Macaca mulatta: one gene and its partners. The protein of the gene in region 4 binds, or shares a complex with, the protein of the main gene of each other region. Links are inferred from orthologs where the notes say so. Each region holds a gene or a part of one and is shown on either strand. Other genes may lie near its edges.

What was found.
Region 1: the proteins of RAB11A (region 4) and MYO5B are in contact, whole or in part, in a crystal structure (PDB 4LX0), measured with the Homo sapiens proteins. The link is inferred for Macaca mulatta from reciprocal best matches to the Homo sapiens genes RAB11A and MYO5B. Residues at the interface, in NP_004654.1 of Homo sapiens: Leu11, Lys13, Arg33, Glu35, Ile44, Gly45, Val46, Glu47, Phe48, Ala49, Thr50, Gln63, Trp65, Glu71, Arg72, Tyr73, Arg74, Ala75, Ile76, Thr77, Ala79, Tyr80, Arg82, Gly83; in NP_001073936.1 of Homo sapiens: Ile1627, Gln1628, Gly1629, Leu1630, Trp1706, Met1710, Arg1713, Tyr1714, Ser1717, Gln1718, Glu1721, Arg1724, Gln1745, Leu1747, Gln1748, Leu1749, Lys1750, Lys1751, Glu1755, Ala1759, Leu1763, Tyr1779, Glu1786.
Region 2: the proteins of RAB11A (region 4) and RAB11FIP3 are in contact, whole or in part, in a crystal structure (PDB 2HV8), measured with the Homo sapiens proteins. The link is inferred for Macaca mulatta from reciprocal best matches to the Homo sapiens genes RAB11A and RAB11FIP3. Residues at the interface, in NP_004654.1 of Homo sapiens: Arg33, Ile44, Gly45, Val46, Glu47, Phe48, Ala49, Thr50, Trp65, Arg72, Arg74, Ala75, Ile76, Ala79, Tyr80, Arg82; in NP_055515.1 of Homo sapiens: Asn731, Phe732, Gln735, Ile738, Asp739, Arg740, Ile742, Val743, Met746, Glu747, Pro750, Ser751, Leu753, Glu754, Val755, Lys756.
Region 3: the proteins of RAB11A (region 4) and RAB3IP are in contact, whole or in part, in a crystal structure (PDB 4UJ5), measured with the Homo sapiens proteins. The link is inferred for Macaca mulatta from reciprocal best matches to the Homo sapiens genes RAB11A and RAB3IP. Residues at the interface, in NP_004654.1 of Homo sapiens: Phe36, Leu38, Glu39, Asp127, Leu128, Arg129, His130, Leu131, Arg132, Ala133, Pro135, Thr136, Leu156; in NP_783322.1 of Homo sapiens: Asn367, Thr368, Leu369, Ser370, Ile371, Glu372, Pro373, Asp412, Arg424, Thr428, Cys431, Asn432, Thr435, Tyr439, Leu444, Val445, Lys446, Gln447, Gln448.

Annotation. Positions count from the first base shown.
Region 1 is NC_133423.1:42,113,701-42,117,653, forward strand, and holds the start of MYO5B (unconventional myosin-Vb), read left to right. Parts: upstream 1-1,153; 5' UTR 1,154-1,366; coding exon 1,367-1,393; intron 1,394-3,953. UniProt on the Homo sapiens protein: May be involved in vesicular trafficking via its association with the CART complex. The CART complex is necessary for efficient transferrin receptor recycling but not for EGFR degradation.
Region 2 is NC_133425.1:1,632,344-1,636,621, forward strand, and holds the start of RAB11FIP3 (rab11 family-interacting protein 3), read left to right. Parts: upstream 1-1,478; 5' UTR 1,479-1,606; coding exon 1,607-2,320; intron 2,321-3,628; exon of another isoform or gene 3,629-4,278. UniProt on the Homo sapiens protein: Downstream effector molecule for Rab11 GTPase which is involved in endocytic trafficking, cytokinesis and intracellular ciliogenesis by participating in membrane delivery. Recruited by Rab11 to endosomes where it links Rab11 to dynein motor complex.
Region 3 is NC_133416.1:76,867,345-76,871,590, forward strand, and holds the start of RAB3IP (rab-3A-interacting protein), read left to right. Parts: upstream 1-1,446; 5' UTR 1,447-2,212; coding exon 2,213-2,250; intron 2,251-4,246. UniProt on the Homo sapiens protein: Guanine nucleotide exchange factor (GEF) which may activate RAB8A and RAB8B. Promotes the exchange of GDP to GTP, converting inactive GDP-bound Rab proteins into their active GTP-bound form.
Region 4 is NC_133412.1:43,316,985-43,321,254, forward strand, and holds the start of RAB11A (ras-related protein Rab-11A), read left to right. Parts: upstream 1-1,470; 5' UTR 1,471-1,587; coding exon 1,588-1,627; intron 1,628-4,270. UniProt on the Homo sapiens protein: The small GTPases Rab are key regulators of intracellular membrane trafficking, from the formation of transport vesicles to their fusion with membranes.

The DNA of each region.
Region 1 (3,953 bases), on a different chromosome or scaffold from region 4:
TCCTTGGGTTGGGGCCTCTTCCTTGGATCGCTTAAAGCTCCCCAGTTGACTCTCATTGTGGAGGCGCCCACGGGAAGGCCTGCACAGGTGAATTACAACGGGATCTTGCGTTCCAGGTGGGATGCCTTTGAGAATCACCCTCTGAGGCTCCTAAACAACTGCCCCGGCTGGTATAGATAGATCTTCTGGTGGAGAACCACTTTTCAGGGGCCACCCCTGGTTCAGGGACACATGCCACCTTCAGAAGGGAGTGTCTCGTCTGACAGCCCTGGTCTCCTTCCACAGACTCCTGGCAGTCTTTTTTTTTCTTGACTGAAATTTCTACTTTTCACTGGAAGTAGGAAAAGAGCTGAAGTTGCTGTAGGCAGCCAAGTGCCATGGGCAGAGAGGGAACACAAATAAACGAGGTAGTGAGTGGCAGAAAGACCGGGAGTCTGCATGTAGGAGAGACGGGGGTTGGGAGAACGTGAGACTTCCCGGAAAAGCAAGAGCCCTCTGAGAGGAGTGGCCTGGAGTCTCCTTGGAGGCTGTGGGCGAAAGTGGCCAATATTTGTACAGAAGAAGTTACGACTCCCACCTTTCTGACGGATTTCCGCGCAGAGAGTTCAGTTTGAAGGAGAAGATCCTTGGTGTACGTATGTCCAGGTCGCCTTAATAACGATCTACGAGTAACTGAATTTTAATGAAAGCGCTGAATACAGCCAGGTAAAATCGAGGGCAACGTCCGGGGCCTTCCAGCCATAGAAGTTTCTCTCTTTTCCCCGCTCTCTGGTTAGTTCCTCTCCCCTTTTCTTGTGTGCACCGCGTGCGTGCCGGACTCCGCCGGGCCGGGTGCGGGTGGAAGAGCAGGTGCTGGCACCGGGGCGCACCTGTGCCTGCGCGTGCGGCGTCCAGCAGGGGGCGGCCCGCGCCGGTCCCCGAGCTCCGCTCTGAGCGCCCCGCCCCCGGCCCGGAGGCCCAGGTGGCAGCGGGGGCGCGGGAGGGCGCGTCGGGCCGGGCACCGGCAGGGCTCAGAGGCGCGGCGGCGCACGGGCAGTCCGCTCTGACGCGCGCGGGTCCTCCCTCCTCGCCGGCCCTCGCCTCCTCCCTACACCTGGGCGGGGAGCGGCGTCGCGCTGCCTCCTCCCCCGGCGCTCGCAACTCCTGTCCGGCCGCTGCTGCGCCGCCGCCGCAGGAGTAAAGGTCGCGCCGCCGGGAGCGAGCCGGCCGCTGTGCCTCCGGGAAGCCGGCGGGGCAGATCGGAGAAGAGCGAGAAGATCGAGAAACTCCAGGCCAGCCCAGGAACATGGCGCCAGGCGGGCCGGCCGCGGACTGAGAGCCGCGGTGCAACGGGGAGCCGGGGCTTGAGCCCCGCCCAGCCCGGGCCATGTCGGTGGGCGAGCTCTACAGCCAGGTGAGCGCAGCCGCGGGAGAGGCGCCGCGGGGCCGGGGCGGAGCGCTCGGGGCCACCTGGCACTCAGGGTCGCCTTCTCCCTCGGCTACTGGAGGCGGGAGGTGACGGGAGACCCCTCCTGGTGTCCCCCGCGTCTCCGTCCTCGGCGTCCCTAACTTCTGTTGGCGGAGAAAGTTTAGCGGTTCCGGGAACGCCCGCACTGACCGGCCGCCCGGCTCCTGGAGATTCCGCAGCGCCACGGCTCAGCCCCAAGCCGGTGCTGTCGCCCCCTCCCCGCCGCGCCCCTCACTTTCGTTGCCTGGGCTGGGTTCCAGCTGAGTTCCCCGAACCGCGGGGGCGACTCTGCCAGCTCTGAGCGCCGTGCTCGGACGGTCCCCCGCGGTGCGCCCGCCGCTGTCCCCTGTCCCCGCCGTGGACCCCGCCCCAGGGGTTCTGCGGCGCCGGCTCTCGAGGGTTCGCCTCCGAGGCGTCCTTTCCTCACGCATACCCACAACAGGGAACCCTGGACTTGGGAGAGGTGGGGGTTCTGGACTTGGTGGAGAGGGAGGAGACTCAACCTGGCGTGAGGGCGCGGCAGCTGGATGGAGTGGGGGTAAGCGATGGGTAGAGGGGTGCTCCGTTATCTCCGGAGACCCCAGGGAAGAGCATTGTGAATTTGCTGGGGATGGGTATTTTGACGCGGCCCCTCTGGTACCAAGAGAGCTTCAGTGACTGTGGGGAAGGGGGTTGGAGTAAAGCCGAACTGGGAGCAGGGTGTGAGTTTCAGGATGCCTTCAAGGTCAGAAGGGATGTGCGAGGCTGGGTGCTCCGAATCCGGAACAGGTGCAGCCTGGGCGGAGACGCCCGCGTTCCGCAGCAGTTGCTGTGGTTAAAGTTAGGGACGAGCCACCGCTTCCAGGGGAGCTGGAGGCAGCGCTGCAGCCGTCCGGGACCCCTCAAGTTTCACCCTGGAGTCAGGAGTGAGATGGGCAAAGGCCTTTTCTTCACATGTGCCCTTTAGGAAAACAAGTTTTGGATAGTCCAATGCCTGGTTTTCCTGTTCATCTTCTTGGGTGGCCAAAACACATACGACAGTGCCTGTGCACACGCCTCCGTGCAGAGTTGTGTGTGCGTGTGGTGTCCGCGCGCGTTGTGTGGGTGTGCGATTCCCGGGACACCTGCCCGGGCCATCAGGTCTGGGCTGGGTAGGAACAGTCACTTCTGCGTCCTTACCTGGAGAGCACTCGCGGCTGTCCAGCACATGTGGGGGAGCCCTTCTGCTCCGTGAACTGGCAACCCTTCTAAGTTTGAGGAATTTTAAACTCTCGCCTTCCTCCTGGAGCGGGGAGCAGGGCCGGGATGGGTTCACGCTCATGAAGGTGGCCGCGGAGGCTGTCACCTGGCTGGGGGTGGGGACGCAGCAGCCTCAGATACTACTTCCTAGCCCACCAGGGACCTCCTGTGCAGCGATCAGGGATGGGCGACGGCCTCTGGGGGAGGAGGGGAGGAGGCGAGGAGGCGAGGAGGCGGGAGCCAGGGCGTCAACTCTGTGGCAGTCCTAGGCTTGGAATGGCACTCCACCCCTCTTGGCTGTGGAGGTATTGGGAGGATCCCTAAAAGCTCAGGTTTTTTCCCTGAAGCCGGTTAGGTTTCAGGAGCTGGGACTGGAGGCTGGAAGCCAGTGAAGGCAGGGGAAAAATCTGAACTGGAGTGCTCAAAGCCGAAGCTTTGTTACATTAAAGTGCATGGAGATGCAAATTGTACTCCTAAGTAAAAGGAATGACTCAACTGAATATACCTCCAATGTGTCAAAGTCCTTTGTCAGGCAATATTGAATTGCTGTTATTATATGAGGGGGAGAGTTTGTGGGGTAAAATGGAGTTAAAAGTTTAAAAATATAAACTTTATTTCTCAACGCAATTTCCATCAAGGTCAAGACACTTTTGAAAGTTATACCAGCCACCTAGTTCGTCCCTAAAGAACCGAGGGTCCTGGGAATTTAACCATGCCAATGCAGTCTTACATTATTAACTGGAAAAGATGCAGGTCATTAACTTCGAGATTAGGACACAAAGTCAGAAGGAGCCAAATCAGGACTGTGAGGTGGACGCCTAATAGTTTTCCGTAGAAACTCTTGCAAAATTGCTCTTCTTTGAGAGGAATGAGGAGCATTGTTGTGGCAGAAAATGACTTTTCTGGTGACGTTTCCTTGGTGTTTTTCTGCTAAAGCTTTGACTTCCTCAAGACACTTGTAATAAGCAGATGTCATCATCATTTGGTCTTCTAGAAAGTCAAGCAAAATGGCTTGAGCAGTCCTCCAAAATGCTGCTATGATCTCTGCTCTGAACCAGTCCACCTTTGCTGTGACTGGACCTCTTTCACCTCTTGGAAGTCTTTGCTTTGATTGGGCTTTGTCTTCAGGATTATACTGGGAGAGCCACATTTCATCCCCTGTTACAATTCAAAGAAATGCTTCAGGGTCTTGATCCCACTTGTTTAGAATTTCCATCCAAAGCTCTGCTCTTGTCTGCAATTGATCTGGGTGCAGCAGTTTTGGTATCCATCAAGTGGGAACTTTGCT
Region 2 (4,278 bases), on a different chromosome or scaffold from region 4:
GGAGGGGGACCCCTCATCTTCCTTTTCCCAATGCCAGCCTCACAAAGTCTGGTCCCATGTCCCCTGAGATTATGCCACGGGAGATGACTCACTCAATTAATACGCTGCTCCTGACCGTACACTTGGAAGCAGAGGTTCCGTTCCTTTGATTTTTGCCAAAGCTGCTTACGAAACCGTATCTTGTGTTGGTGCCCAAGGTGTGTAAAAATACAAGTTCATCATTTCCCTGATACAAATCACGACAGGCTAAATTTAGTGCCTCACCTGCTCCTAACTAGTCTGTCCCACCGTCATGCCTGCCGCCAGGCTGTGGTCCTGTCTGAGGTTCTGTGTCCCTCTGAGGACAGGGACACCTAGACACAGAGGTCAGTTGTCAAACGCGGCCACGGTGCTCGTGAGGCTGGCTGCAGACGGGCGATTAACGCTGGGTGTCTTCTTTAGTCTTATTTTCTTGTAAAGACGAGGTCTCGCTTTGGTGCCCAGGTTGGTCTCGAACTCCTGGGCGCAAGCGATCCTCCTGCTTGGGCGTGGGGCACCGCGCCCGTCCCAACGCTGGGCGTCTTGGAGACCTTGGTCACAGGCTTAAGGGAAAGGCCTAGCGCGTGGCCGCGCCTGCCTCTGGTTTCGAGGGACATGGACTGCGTGTCTGGGGCCCCTCCGCACTCCGTGTCAGACCCTGCGTCCGCCGGGTCAGCGCGGGGTCTGGGTTGGGCCTCGCCCTCTGCAGCGTCTGCGCCTCACAACCCCTGAGGCACCTGCGACCCCTGGGCCGCGGAGCCAGGAGTGCGCCGCCTCCTGGTCTCATCAACGTGAGAACGCTTTACCCCGGAAGGGCTCAGCTCCCAGGGGGCTATGTCCCTGTGCGTCTCTCGCTCGCCGCGCGGTGCCGTTTACTCGTCCGCACCATGCGTGGGTCGCGGTCTCGGTTGCGCCCGCTGGTAGCTGTACGTCGGGAACCGTTCTAAGTAAGGTTTGACTCCGCGCGCCCCTTGCCAGGGACGTCACGTCACGCCACGCCTCCACTCGCAGCCTTGGAGCACCCCGGCGTCCCGCGCCTGAAGCTCGAGACCCCAGCTCCGGCGAGACGAGGCATACAAGACAGCGGAACACCCCCCGCAGCCGCCGCACTGCCGCGACACTCCCGGCGCCTGCCTTTATAGGAAGCCGGCGAGGGGCTGGGGCACCGCCGGGACGTGCTGACGTCAAGCCCGACGGAGGGCGGGGCCGGGGCAGCGGCGGCGGCGTTAGTTCTCCGGGTACCTCAGGAGTCTCAGCCTCCTTAGTCTCCTCATCCTGCTTCACAGGCTGCGCGGCCTCCGGTGTCCTCGGCCCCCGTCCGCTGTCGCCCGCCGCCCGGCCCCTCGCCGCCCTCCCTAGGCCGCCCCGCCGCCATGGGCCTGCGCCCGCCTCGCCGCCGGGCCGAGGGCAGCTGAGGCGCGGCGCGAAGATGGGCGAGGACGGAGCAGGGCCCGAGCGCCAGCCCCAGCAGCCCGGGCGCCCCGCGCGCGCCCGCCCGCGCCGCCGAGGGGATGCCCGCGCCCGCCGCCGCGCCCTGAGCGCCTTTGTCTGCCGCCCGCGCCCTCCGCACCACTAGCCTCTGAGGAGCATGGCGTCGGCCCCGCCGGCCTCGCCCCCGGGCTCGGAGCCGCCGGGGCCCGACCCGGAGCCGGGCGGGCCGGACGGGCCGGGGGCGACGCAGCCGGCGCCGGGCCCTGCGGAGCTACGCCTCGGAGCGCTCGCCGCTGGCTCCGATCCGGAGCCCCCGGGCCTGGATGAGCCTGCACCCGGAGCCGCTGCGGATGGCGGGGCGCGCTGGAGCGCCGGGCCGGCCCCGGGGCTGGAGGGAGGCCCGGGGGACCCCGGGGCGCCCGCCCCGCCGCCACGCTCCGGCCCGCTGGGGCAGCTCGAGAGCCCGGAAGCCCCGGGCCCAGGGCGCCGCTCCGAGGCGCCGCTTCCAGAACTCGACCCGTTGTTCTCCTGGACTGAGAAGCCCGAGGAGTGTGGCCCCGTGGGCTGCCCGGAGAGCGCGCCTTACCGCTTGCAGGGGTCCAGCAGCAGCCACCGAGCGCGGGGCGAGGTCGACCTCTTCTCTCCCTTCCCCGCGCCCACGGCGGGCGAGCTGGCGCTGGATGAGGGTCCCGGGTCCCCGCCGCAGCCCTCGGATCTCAGCCAGACCCACCCCCTTCCGAGCGAGCCCGCGGGGAGTCAGGAGGACGGCCCCCGCCTCCGAGCCGTGTTCGATGCCCTGGACGGGGATGGGGACGGTTTCGTCCGCATCGAGGACTTCGTCCAGTTTGCCACGGTCTACGGGGCAGAGCAGGTACGGAGCGGCCCGGGCCGTGGCGTGGGAACCGGGCAGGTGCGCGTCTGGCCTGCGGGGTTGATGTGGGACCGGTCGACGCGGCCCATGGAGTCGGCAAAGGCATTGTCAAGACCTGCGAGTCCTGCTTTTGCTGCTTATTCACCACTTCGGCCCTGGTTTTCTGGTTGAATTTCACTGGAGTCCCTATTCCCTTCTTAAAAGGAGGTTCTATTCTGGGGAGTCAGTTTTTTCCCATCCCCCCATCGCCCCGTCAGCTGGATCTTACAGAGGTCTGCTCCTGGCCTGGGGACACCCCCCCAGGGTGCCTGATCGACGTGCCCCTGAATGAAAAAGTTCCCCGCGATTCCCTCGCCCGAGGGCCCAGATACTGCTTGGCTGAATTTACCCAAGTTCGAGCCGCAGAGGCCAGGCTGCCCAGACACCTTGAGATCCTACTGATAGATACCTATTTTGAGCACAATTACTTTACTGTGCGTGGTTGACATCTTTTCTACTTAGATTTAATCTTTTATTGTTTGGGAGACAGTCGATGCTTGTAGAAGGTCCTGGAATTAAGAATTTTTACTTTGGTGCCTTTGGGGAGGAAGGGAATGAGCCTCTGAGCTTGTTGGCAAATACAGAAGTCTAGCAGAACTCCATTACGGCCACCTCCACTCTAGCAGGAGAGGTGAAATGCGTGGACAGGCACTGCGCACAATACAGTGTGGCAGGGGTCCGCGCGGTCCTCAGGGCGCCTGCTCCTGGGGGGAAGGTGGGCCGGAAGATGCAGTCATTGCTATCTACCTCAGCACTTAATAAGTTTAAGTGGAGATAACAGCAGGGCTGTGTGTGTTCTGCCAATAACCCAGTGGACATCAAATAATACCAGCGCTCACTTTTAAATAGTTTACTTTGTAGGAAATCCCTAAGGTGCATCTGTCAATTTTTTGTATTTTGTTGACTTCTCACACATGCAGGCATATGGTAAGTGGGTGTTCAAGTACATATGCATGTTTAAGCCAAAGGTCTGTAAGAAAAGAGGTAAAATTGGCACACTGCTATTTAGGGTGTCAGTCATAACATTAAGAACCTTGATGGGCAGGCGCGGTGGCTCACGCCTGTAATCCCAGCACTTTGGGAGGCCGAGGCGGGCGGATCACGAGGTCAGGAGATCGAGACCATCCTGGCTAACATGGTGAAACCCCATCTCTACTAAAAAATACAAAAAAATTAGCCGGTGTGGTGGTAGGCACCTGTAGTCCCTGCTATTTGGGAGGCTGAGGCAGGAGAATGGCCTGAGCCCAGGAGGCGGAGCTTGCAGTGAGCTGAGATTGTGCCACTGCCCTCCAGCCTGGGCGAGAGCGAGACTTCCATCTCAAAAAAAAACAAAAAAAAAAAAAAGAAAAAACAGGGGCCTGATAAATCAGTGTTCCTTACTGAGTTCACACTAAGAAGGTGTACAGACAGGTTGCCTGTGGGGCAGCCTGCACTGCTCACGTGCTTAGCTCCAGTTGGGATATTGTCAGGATAGTTTTCCACCTACTCTAATGGGCAGTAAAATATGTGACTGATACTTTCCGGTATCGTCAGTGTGGATGGTGGTTGCTGGTCTAGGTGTTTTGCTGTGTTTCCTTCTTGCCTCTGACCTGGAGAGCACCTTGAGCTCCCTTGGTTGCTGTTGGCTAGTGCACTGTGTCTTCTCTCAAACATACTCTTGCTTTAGTACAGCAAAGAAGGCAGGAGAGTACCACCTTTGCTCCTTGTTACCATAACCCAACTTTGATAGAGAGCTTCTGTGAGGCTCAGGTATGTTTCCACTGGATTATACCACAGTTCTCTGAGATGGTAGGCAAGCATGATTCATCCCCACTTTGCAGGTAAGAAACCAGAAACTCAGAAAGGTTAATGTAGCTCTCCCAAGGCCTCACAGGGGTAGAACTAGATCTTTTGGCTCTTAGACCTTAGATGCCTCTTCT
Region 3 (4,246 bases), on a different chromosome or scaffold from region 4:
AAAATGTTTGATGAATGAATGACCAGCTACGTGGTGTAAGGGAGAACAGTTAGGAGTCCGTTAATAAGAAAGGTCATTTCTAATGGCAATGAATATCAGGTAAGATATATTTAAGAATTATTTAGAAATTAGGATGAATAAGACTTGGTGATATATTGGTGACGGGGTATAAAATAAGAAAAACTGACTTTCTAGGTTTCTGGATTACAGATGCATGATAATAGTTATAATGGTATAATAACAATAGCTAATATTCATCAGGCACCCTGTGTCATGAAGTATGCAAAGTGTTTACATGAATTAAGTCATTTAAACTCTCAATGACTTAGCGAGGCAGGTTCTTGTATACTCATTCACTGATGAGAAAACTGGGGCTAGAGATTCATTTGCCTAAGGTCACTCAGCTAGCAGGTGGCAGGCTCAAACCCAGTAATTCTGACTCCAACAGCCATACACATAGTCTACTTTTCTTTACTGCCTCTAATAGATGAGATTAATACCCAGAATGATGGTTCTATTCAATATGTGTATCACATAAATTGCACGTTTCTCTTTTGCTAAACATAGAGACACATACTATGAATGCCTCTTTATTTTTTCCGATTTTTGGGATCTTGGCTCTTTCTGTATTTTTCCTACCTGGAAGACTTAAAGTGGGGTGGAAGTTTGATAAAACAGTTGGCACAAAAGATGAGAGAAGACAGGTACAGGCGTGACATTCTCGAACGCTCTGGCAGTTGCTGGAATGATGGGATCTGGGTTCTACAGGATTCCTCCCCTCCCATCCCCCGCCACACAAACACACACACACACACGTCGTAAGATGTATATGGCCGCGGAGTCTCAGGTTGGTTCTAGGAGTCCTCAACTCACGGCGAAGGTGCCTCTTCTCCCTTCTGGAGAGCCCAACATGCCTGAAGTCAACCTGAGGTGGCCTCTCGGGCCCCGGGAAACAGCGCAGCTCGGGCTCGCCCTTGTTCCCAGGGAAACCGCCCGCGGAGGAACCTGGGGCCAGGCCCGTGACAGCTGCGACGAGCCCCGCCTGGCGCCAGGGGGCGCGGAAGCGCGTCCGCCCCCAGGCCCCACGCCGGGCCCGCCCCGCCCCTGCCGGCCACACCCCCCCGCCCCGCCCACCCTCCGTGAGGACCGGCCGCTCCCAGCTCCCGGCTCCCGGCCCCGGGCCCCGGCCCCGCTTCCGGCGCAGGCGCAGTCCCGCGTTCCCTCGGCGGCTGCCGGCGTAGTGAGCCCGCCACCGTGGAGTGTAGCGGCAAGGGCTCGCCGTCCTCCTCCGCCTCTCGCTGCTTCGGGGCGCGCTCTCTGCGGCTCTGTGAGCGCCCGTGAGCGCCGGCAGCGGCCGCGGTGGGTTCGTCAGGTGAGTGTGGCCGCGGGAGGGAGAGGCCCGGAGCGTGGAGCACCGCCCCCCTCGGCGCCCGCGCACCCGCCTCCGGCGAGTCGGCCAGGAGGGGCGGCCGCGGCAGGTGCAGGTGCCGGCGCCGTGGAGGGCGCGGCGCGCGGGGGTTCGGCGGGATGCCCCGGCCCGGTGAGCGCGCTCTCCGCCTGGGCAGTTGGGCTCCGGGCTCTTGGGGGCGGCGTGTGGGGGGACCTCGGCGCCCCGGGTCAGCCGGCCGCCCCCTGGGCTGCTGGTGGGCGCCGGGCGGCGGCTCCTCCCCCGGGCACGGGCGCGTTACACATTAACTGCGCGGTCCCGCGCGCCCGGGGCAGGGAGCCGGAGCCCGGCGGGTTACCTGGCGGCGGCCGGGAGCGGCCGGGAGCGGCCGGGAGCGGAGGGCCGGGGTCGCGAGGGGGATGAAGACGGAGTTCCCGAACAAGTCGGTAGCCGCTCACAACACCGGGCGCCGCGCGGCAGGGCTGTGGACGGGGCAATAGCTGTGGACCTGGGGTGGTTTCGTGCCCCAGTCTTAGGAAACGACGCTAGAGGCACCGTGCTGAGGCGTAGAGGTCACCCTCGGGAGGTTTCGGTGAAACCTGGTGGGAAATTCCGGGCAGGCGCCCGGAGTCGCGTCCGAAGAGGCAGCTCCTTGCAGCCAGACTTGTGTTCGGGGGAGTTGAGACGAGCTGCACGGATGGGATTGCACGGCTTTGCCCTCCCAGCGTTGAAAACTCGCCCCGACCGCCCGGGGAAGCGCGAGCTTCCTCGCTCCAGAATTGATGCTGGGTGGAAGCCGCAGCATGTAAAGAGTTGCCGGTTGTTATGGGATTAAAAAAAGATATATCTACAATGGCTAAAGGGTAAGGTCTTGAAAGACAAGAGCGCTGAGTTAGTACTGATTACTGAGAGGCAATTTAGTTTCATGGAAATGTTGCCTGTTCGGAGGCTACCTGTTATACACTCTCATGTTTCACCCCAACTCCTTCCTTTCAGTGTCGGGTTAAAAGCCTTGTAATCTCTTGCAGTGGAATGATTGCATAATTGGAGGAGGGGCCCGTAAGAGGATTACAACAAAACTGTTCCTTTGTAAATCAATTGAAAGACCCAGTTCTTGTTCATTATCCTTTTTCTCATTTTGTTGTTCATGAAGGTTTTTTTTTTTTTCCCCCCAGTGGTGAATGACAAATCAAGGAGAAAAGAGGCAGAATAGGTTTGTAGACCAATCGTAGTAAATATTTGATACTGTTAAATATTTCACCAGTTTTATGGGGCCTTGTACTATTACCATTTGTTATTTATTTACTAGTACTGTGCATTTTGATAGGACTTTTCGTGTTTGGACATTGTATTCCAGATATGGCTTATGTGATCTAATGCTAAAGCCCTTGTGGAATTTATAGAAATAAACAGTTATACAGTTAAGTAGTCCATTTTTTAACTATTGAAGGAAAAGCCTTTCATTTTTTTCCATTGCAGTAATGTTATATATTGATGTATACCTTTGTGAACCAAAGTGTTTAATATAAATCTTCCTTCCGTATTTGGCAGACAACTCATCTGTGGTATTGAATACTTGTAACCTTTCACCAGGATGGCCATTTAATGTTTAGCTGCTTTGTGGGTTTTCTGACTAGATCCTATTGTACTTTTTGAATTAGTGTAATTATCCATATGCTTCCTTTAATATTCTTTTTTTTTTTTTTTTTTTTTTTTTTTTTTGAGACGGAGTCTCGCTCTGTCACCCAGGCTGGAGTGCAGTGGCCGGATCTGAGCTCACTGCAAACTCCGCCTCCCGAGTTCACGCCATTCTCCTGCCTCAGCCTCCCGAGTAGCTGGGACTACAGGCGCCCGCCACCTCGCCCGGCTAAGTTTTTGTATTTTTAGTAGAGACGGGGTTTCATTGTGTTAGCCAGGATGGTCTCGATCTCCTGACCTCGTGATCCGCACGTCTCGGCCTCCCAAAGTGCTGGGATTACAGGCTTGAGCCACCGCGCCCGACCTAATATTCTTTACCTTTGATCCTCCCCCAACACACACATCCTCTGCAAATACTTTTTAAAATGGAAATGTTCTTAGAAATCTGTTTCACCCCCTCATTTTTTAAACATGGCAGGAAAAAATACTTTGTAGATTATAGTAGTTTTATATGCATTATAGTAGTTAGTATATTTTTTTCCCCCTCAGCAGGAGTCAGTGAACAAATTAGTGAGCTGGCTGAATGAAAAATTATTTAATGTTCAGTTCCATCACTTACTGTGCATAAAACCTTGAGTAAAACATTTAACCTATTTGAGCTTATTTTCTCCATTTGTCAGTGGAAATACTATTAGGTTGAAATTGCTAATATTCTGCTGTTTTTTATGTTTCAACCTAATATGAACTTCATAGTGGTGAGATGAGGATTTAATAAGATACTCCATTAGAGATGTGGGGAAGGGGAGAAGGAACCAATGTGAGCTTGCTTGTGTGCAAGGCACTGTGCGTGCTTGTTTTCCATACCTTGACTCCTCAGTCCTCTGGACATTCCTGGGATATAGGTGACTTGTCAAATTTTACAAATCAGGAAATGGAGGCTTAGAAAGTTGCGGTAATTTGTCTGTAGTTACTTAGTTGTAGGTGGTCGTACAGCTGGCCAGTGACAGAGCCGGTATTAAAAACTGTATCCAACTGCCCAAAAAGGAACTTAGTGCTTTTATTCCTTACATTCCCAGTCTGCACTTTCTATTAAAGAACTTTGTAACTATAAGGAGGCACACAGAGTGACAAGTGTTACCATTTGTATTTCTGGTTTAAAAATACCCAGGTTTTCTAATGACGGTGATACCAGCCTTGCTACTACAGTTACTTTTAAGTCTA
Region 4 (4,270 bases):
CCCGGGTTCAAACGATTCTCGTGCCTAAGCCTCCAGAGTAGCTGGGACTACAGGCGCCCACCACCACGCCCGGCTAACTTTTTGTATTTTTAGTAGCGACGGGGTTTCACCTTGTTGGCCAGGCTGGTCTTGAACTGTTGACCTCAGGTGATCCACCCACCTCGGCCTCCCAAAGTGCTGGGATTAAGGCGTGAGCCACCGTGCCCAGCCCTTTTTCCACTTTTAAGTACTCTTACGACAACACTGGGGTCACCCAAATAATCCAGGATAATATCCCTAATTTAATGTCAGCTGATTAGCAACCTTAATTTCATCTGTAACCTCAATTCCCCTTTGCCATGTAACCTAACCTATTCAGTCTCTGGGAATTGGGAAGTGGACATCATTGGCAGGTGGTATTCTTCTGCTTGTTCTAGGCACACTTGCCCACAAGTCTAAATCGAGAGTTTGCATATAGGAGGTAGGAGGTGTGACAATAATTGGATAAAGGCTTTTCTGGAATTACAAAATTCTCTTCAAATACAGGGAGGCCCTGCGGCATGATATCTGGCAAATCACTTGAGTCTTAGTATCCAAATTTCCGCTAAAATGGAAATTGCCATCCTTTGCTCGGCATATTAAATGAAATACTTATGTAAACGGACTTAGATTAGAGGCCTACAAATAGGACTCAAGTTCTTGATGAATCTTGATGAGGAGGGTGGGCGAAGTACTCTAAATGAAAACGAGATAGACTGAGAGATTTCCGGAGAGGAGTGAGTGACAAGCGCCTACCCGTGCATGAAGCTGGAGGTAGAAAATTCCAGCAAAAGGAATTTTCAAGTTTCATTGAAGCTTCTGAATTAAAGTTTGAGGGGCCAGGGTTAAAAAAAAAAAGGTAGTGAAGAGGCTCATTAAGACAACCCCCGCCAGGTAGCAGATAGTACCTCAAATGCAGTGGGAAATTTGTGAGTTCTTCATAGGCAAGGATTAAATTTTACATCTCCATGTTAATATATGTCATAGTTGTTCAATTACTTAGTGAACAAAAAAGTTGTTAAGGAAAAAAAAAAGCACCAATGCAGGTTCCACCGAGATTTGAACTCGGATCGCTGGATTCAGAGTCCAGAGTGCTAACCATTACACCATGGAACCGCCACGCATATGTAGTTGCCTTCGGCTCTCTGATCCTTAGACAACCCCGCCCCCATCCACAAACCCACCACTCACAGGCGGTCCCGCCCGGTTCCAGCGAGTCGCTTCCGGGCACGGTAGCTCGAGAAATAAGCAAGAGGCCACTAAGACCACGGTAGCTAGGAATTCCAGGACTCAGTTTCCCCTTTGAGCCTCCTTTAGCGACGAAAGTTTGAAGCCCCACGCATCGCGACTCTCGTGCATACCGCCCTTCTTGGGTTCAGGGACGGGGAGCCGCCCCCGGAAGTACTTCCCCTTAAAGGCTGGGGCCTGCCGGAAGTGGCGCAGCGGCAAGGAGGGGCTCTTCACCCAGTCCGGCAGTTGAAGCTCGGCGTTCGGGTTACCCCTGCAGCGACGCCCCCTGGTCCCACAGATACCACTGCTGCTCCCGCCCTTTCGCTCCTCGGCCGCGCAATGGGCACCCGCGACGACGAGTACGACTACCTCTTTAAAGGTGAGGCCATGGGCTCTCGCACTCTACACAGTCCCCGTTCGGGGACCCGGGACACACTCGGCGGACGTGCCGGCCACCCGTGCACTGATAGAGGCCTGCCTCAGCCCTTCCTTTTTGTGTGGTTCCGTCTCCTACCCAGCTCAGCTTCTCTCCTCCTCAGACAGGGGTCCCCATCACATGCCGCTCTCTGAGCGACCTCTCCGTGGGCCTTGGCTGGCCTCACAGCCCCTCCCTGCGTGTCCTTCCCCTGGCGGACTGCCTTCTCGCATATCGTCGAATTCCTTTCCCTGGGTTCTGCGGCCCCGCCGCCCCTCCCACCATCTCTCTTTTCGGGTGTAGCGCCCCCTCCCCCTCAGCGTACACCTTTCCCGGCTGGCGTCCTCTCCCGAAGCCCCTGTGACGGGTTCTTCGCTTCCCTCTTGGCCTTGCCTTCGGTGCAGACTCCCACTACAGGTCTTTTCTTATCTGCCCCCTTTCCCCCTCGAGCGAGCCTCTTTTCTGCATATCTCCTCCCCTTGTTCGGCCCCCCCTCTAAGCTTCTCGCATCCCGGGTCCAGGACCCGGTAAAATCTGAGCGGGCCAGGGGTCCCCACCCCCACCCTCCGCCCCGCGGTTCTCGCGGTCCTTAACCTTCTCTGACCGCTCCCTCCCCCACTCCCCATTTGGCAACTCTCTCTACCTTCCCTCCCCAGATCGTGTTTAGAGCTCCCTGGTCTCCGTTGCGACCCGGGTGGTGGGAGGGTAAGAGGGATCGACCATCACCCAGTCGCGCACTTGTCGCAGTGACCCGGCAGGCTGACATTACTTCCCACCTAGCCTTTTATTATCTTGCTCTCCCTACTCAGTGGCACACAACCCGGGATAACTCTTTACTCGGTTCGCGAGAAGAGGTTGCGGATGGGTGGTGGCTGTTATCCTTGCCAGACCTGAAGGCCCGGTTCCTGAGCAGGAAAGGTTGTGCGCTGCACAAATACTAGCTTGCTTTATCTCTATGGACTGGTTGCTTCCTGCTGCAACACTGGGAGGATCCAACAGGAAGGGAAGAGCCCTAGTTGGCCACATACCTTTCCCAAAAGGTTGGGGGTAGGAAGGAAGTTGTGTGCTCTTTTGGTCACATTAAATATTTATTATAAGGTACGGAAACATGTAGTGCCCTTGGATAGAACATATCGGAGGGTCAGGGTTGGTTAGAAAGAATTGCTTATTGGTTGAGTCCGGAAGGAATCCAATTTTTTTTTTTAGTCAACGAAGATAAAGGGTACATTTTTCAATAAGAAGAAAGTACAGTAGATGCTTTTATTGTTCAGTGAATGTACTCTCACTCTGATGCTCTTTCTCTGCTCCTGAATTGGGAAGGTAGCCATCAGTAGTGTGCTGAACAAAGATCATTACCACTGAGGAAGAAGCCATTGCTATTAAAGCTTTACTGTGGAGGGTGGAGTTTAAAGAGTGTTAAGCATGGTGACTGTTTCTGTCTTTGCCATTGGGTGCTAAGAATGATTGACTAAACCAAGCAGGAAAGATTTGTTTGCTTTCCCAATACTTTGCAAATCTTGTTATACTAGCCTGCTGTTGTACTCTTGTCGTCTCTTACGCCTCTGACCCAGAATATTCTATTGTATAGGGTGAATACTTTTGGTATCCCCCCTCCACCCCATGCTGGAAAGTACTTTCAGGGTACTTAGTTCATTTTACAAATACAAAACTCAGACCTGGATTACAGAAAGTATACTATAGCATACGTTTTGCCGAAGGTATCTGAGATGATGTGAAATTATTTGAATCTCTTGAGACTTTGGGGTTAAAGGGAGGTTTGTGTTTTAAAATATGGTATAATGGTAGTGTGCCTTTATAAAGGCTGTCTTTGAAGTAATTAATTCAGAACAAGATAGACCGTCAGGGTATTTCTCCTATTTGGTTTGAACTGGAATGTTGGTTATACAAGGTCCTTTTATTTTTTAACAAAGAATATTAAATATTCTGAATTGGCCTAAAGTATTTCAGCTTTTTGATTAGACCATCCTTCTAGCAACGATTGAGAGCACCGAGCTTTGGAATTAACGTAGATTTCGGTTTAGATCCTGACTCAGGTCTTATATTTACTATATGACCTTGGAAAAGTTAACTTTTCTGAGTCTCAGTTCTCTCATTTATGTAAAGGAAAATACCTGTCTCTTAAGATTGTTGTGAGAGTTAAATGAGACTATTTGTAAAATTTTAACCATGAGGACTCAATAAATGGTAATAATGTGAAAGAAGTTACTGTGGTTTTGTCAGTTTTTTTTTTTTTTTTTTTTTTTTGAGACAGGGTCTCGCTCTGTCCCCCAGGCTGGAGTGCAGTGGCACAATCAAGGCTCACTGCAGTCTCGGCCTCCTCAGGCTCAGGTGACCCTCCCACCTCAGCCTCCCTAGCTACTCTCTAGCTCCTAAGAGTAGCTGAGACTACAAGAGTGCAGCACCACGTCCAGCTAATTTTTTTTTTTTTTTTTGTAAAGACAGGGTTTTGCCATGTTGCCCAGGCTGGTCTCGCACTCCTGGACTTAAGCAATCCACCTGCCTCAGCCCCCGCCAAGTGCTGGGATTATAGGCGTGAGCCAGTGTGCCTGGCCTTTGTCGGTTTTTTGAACCTTAAATGTAGGTTCA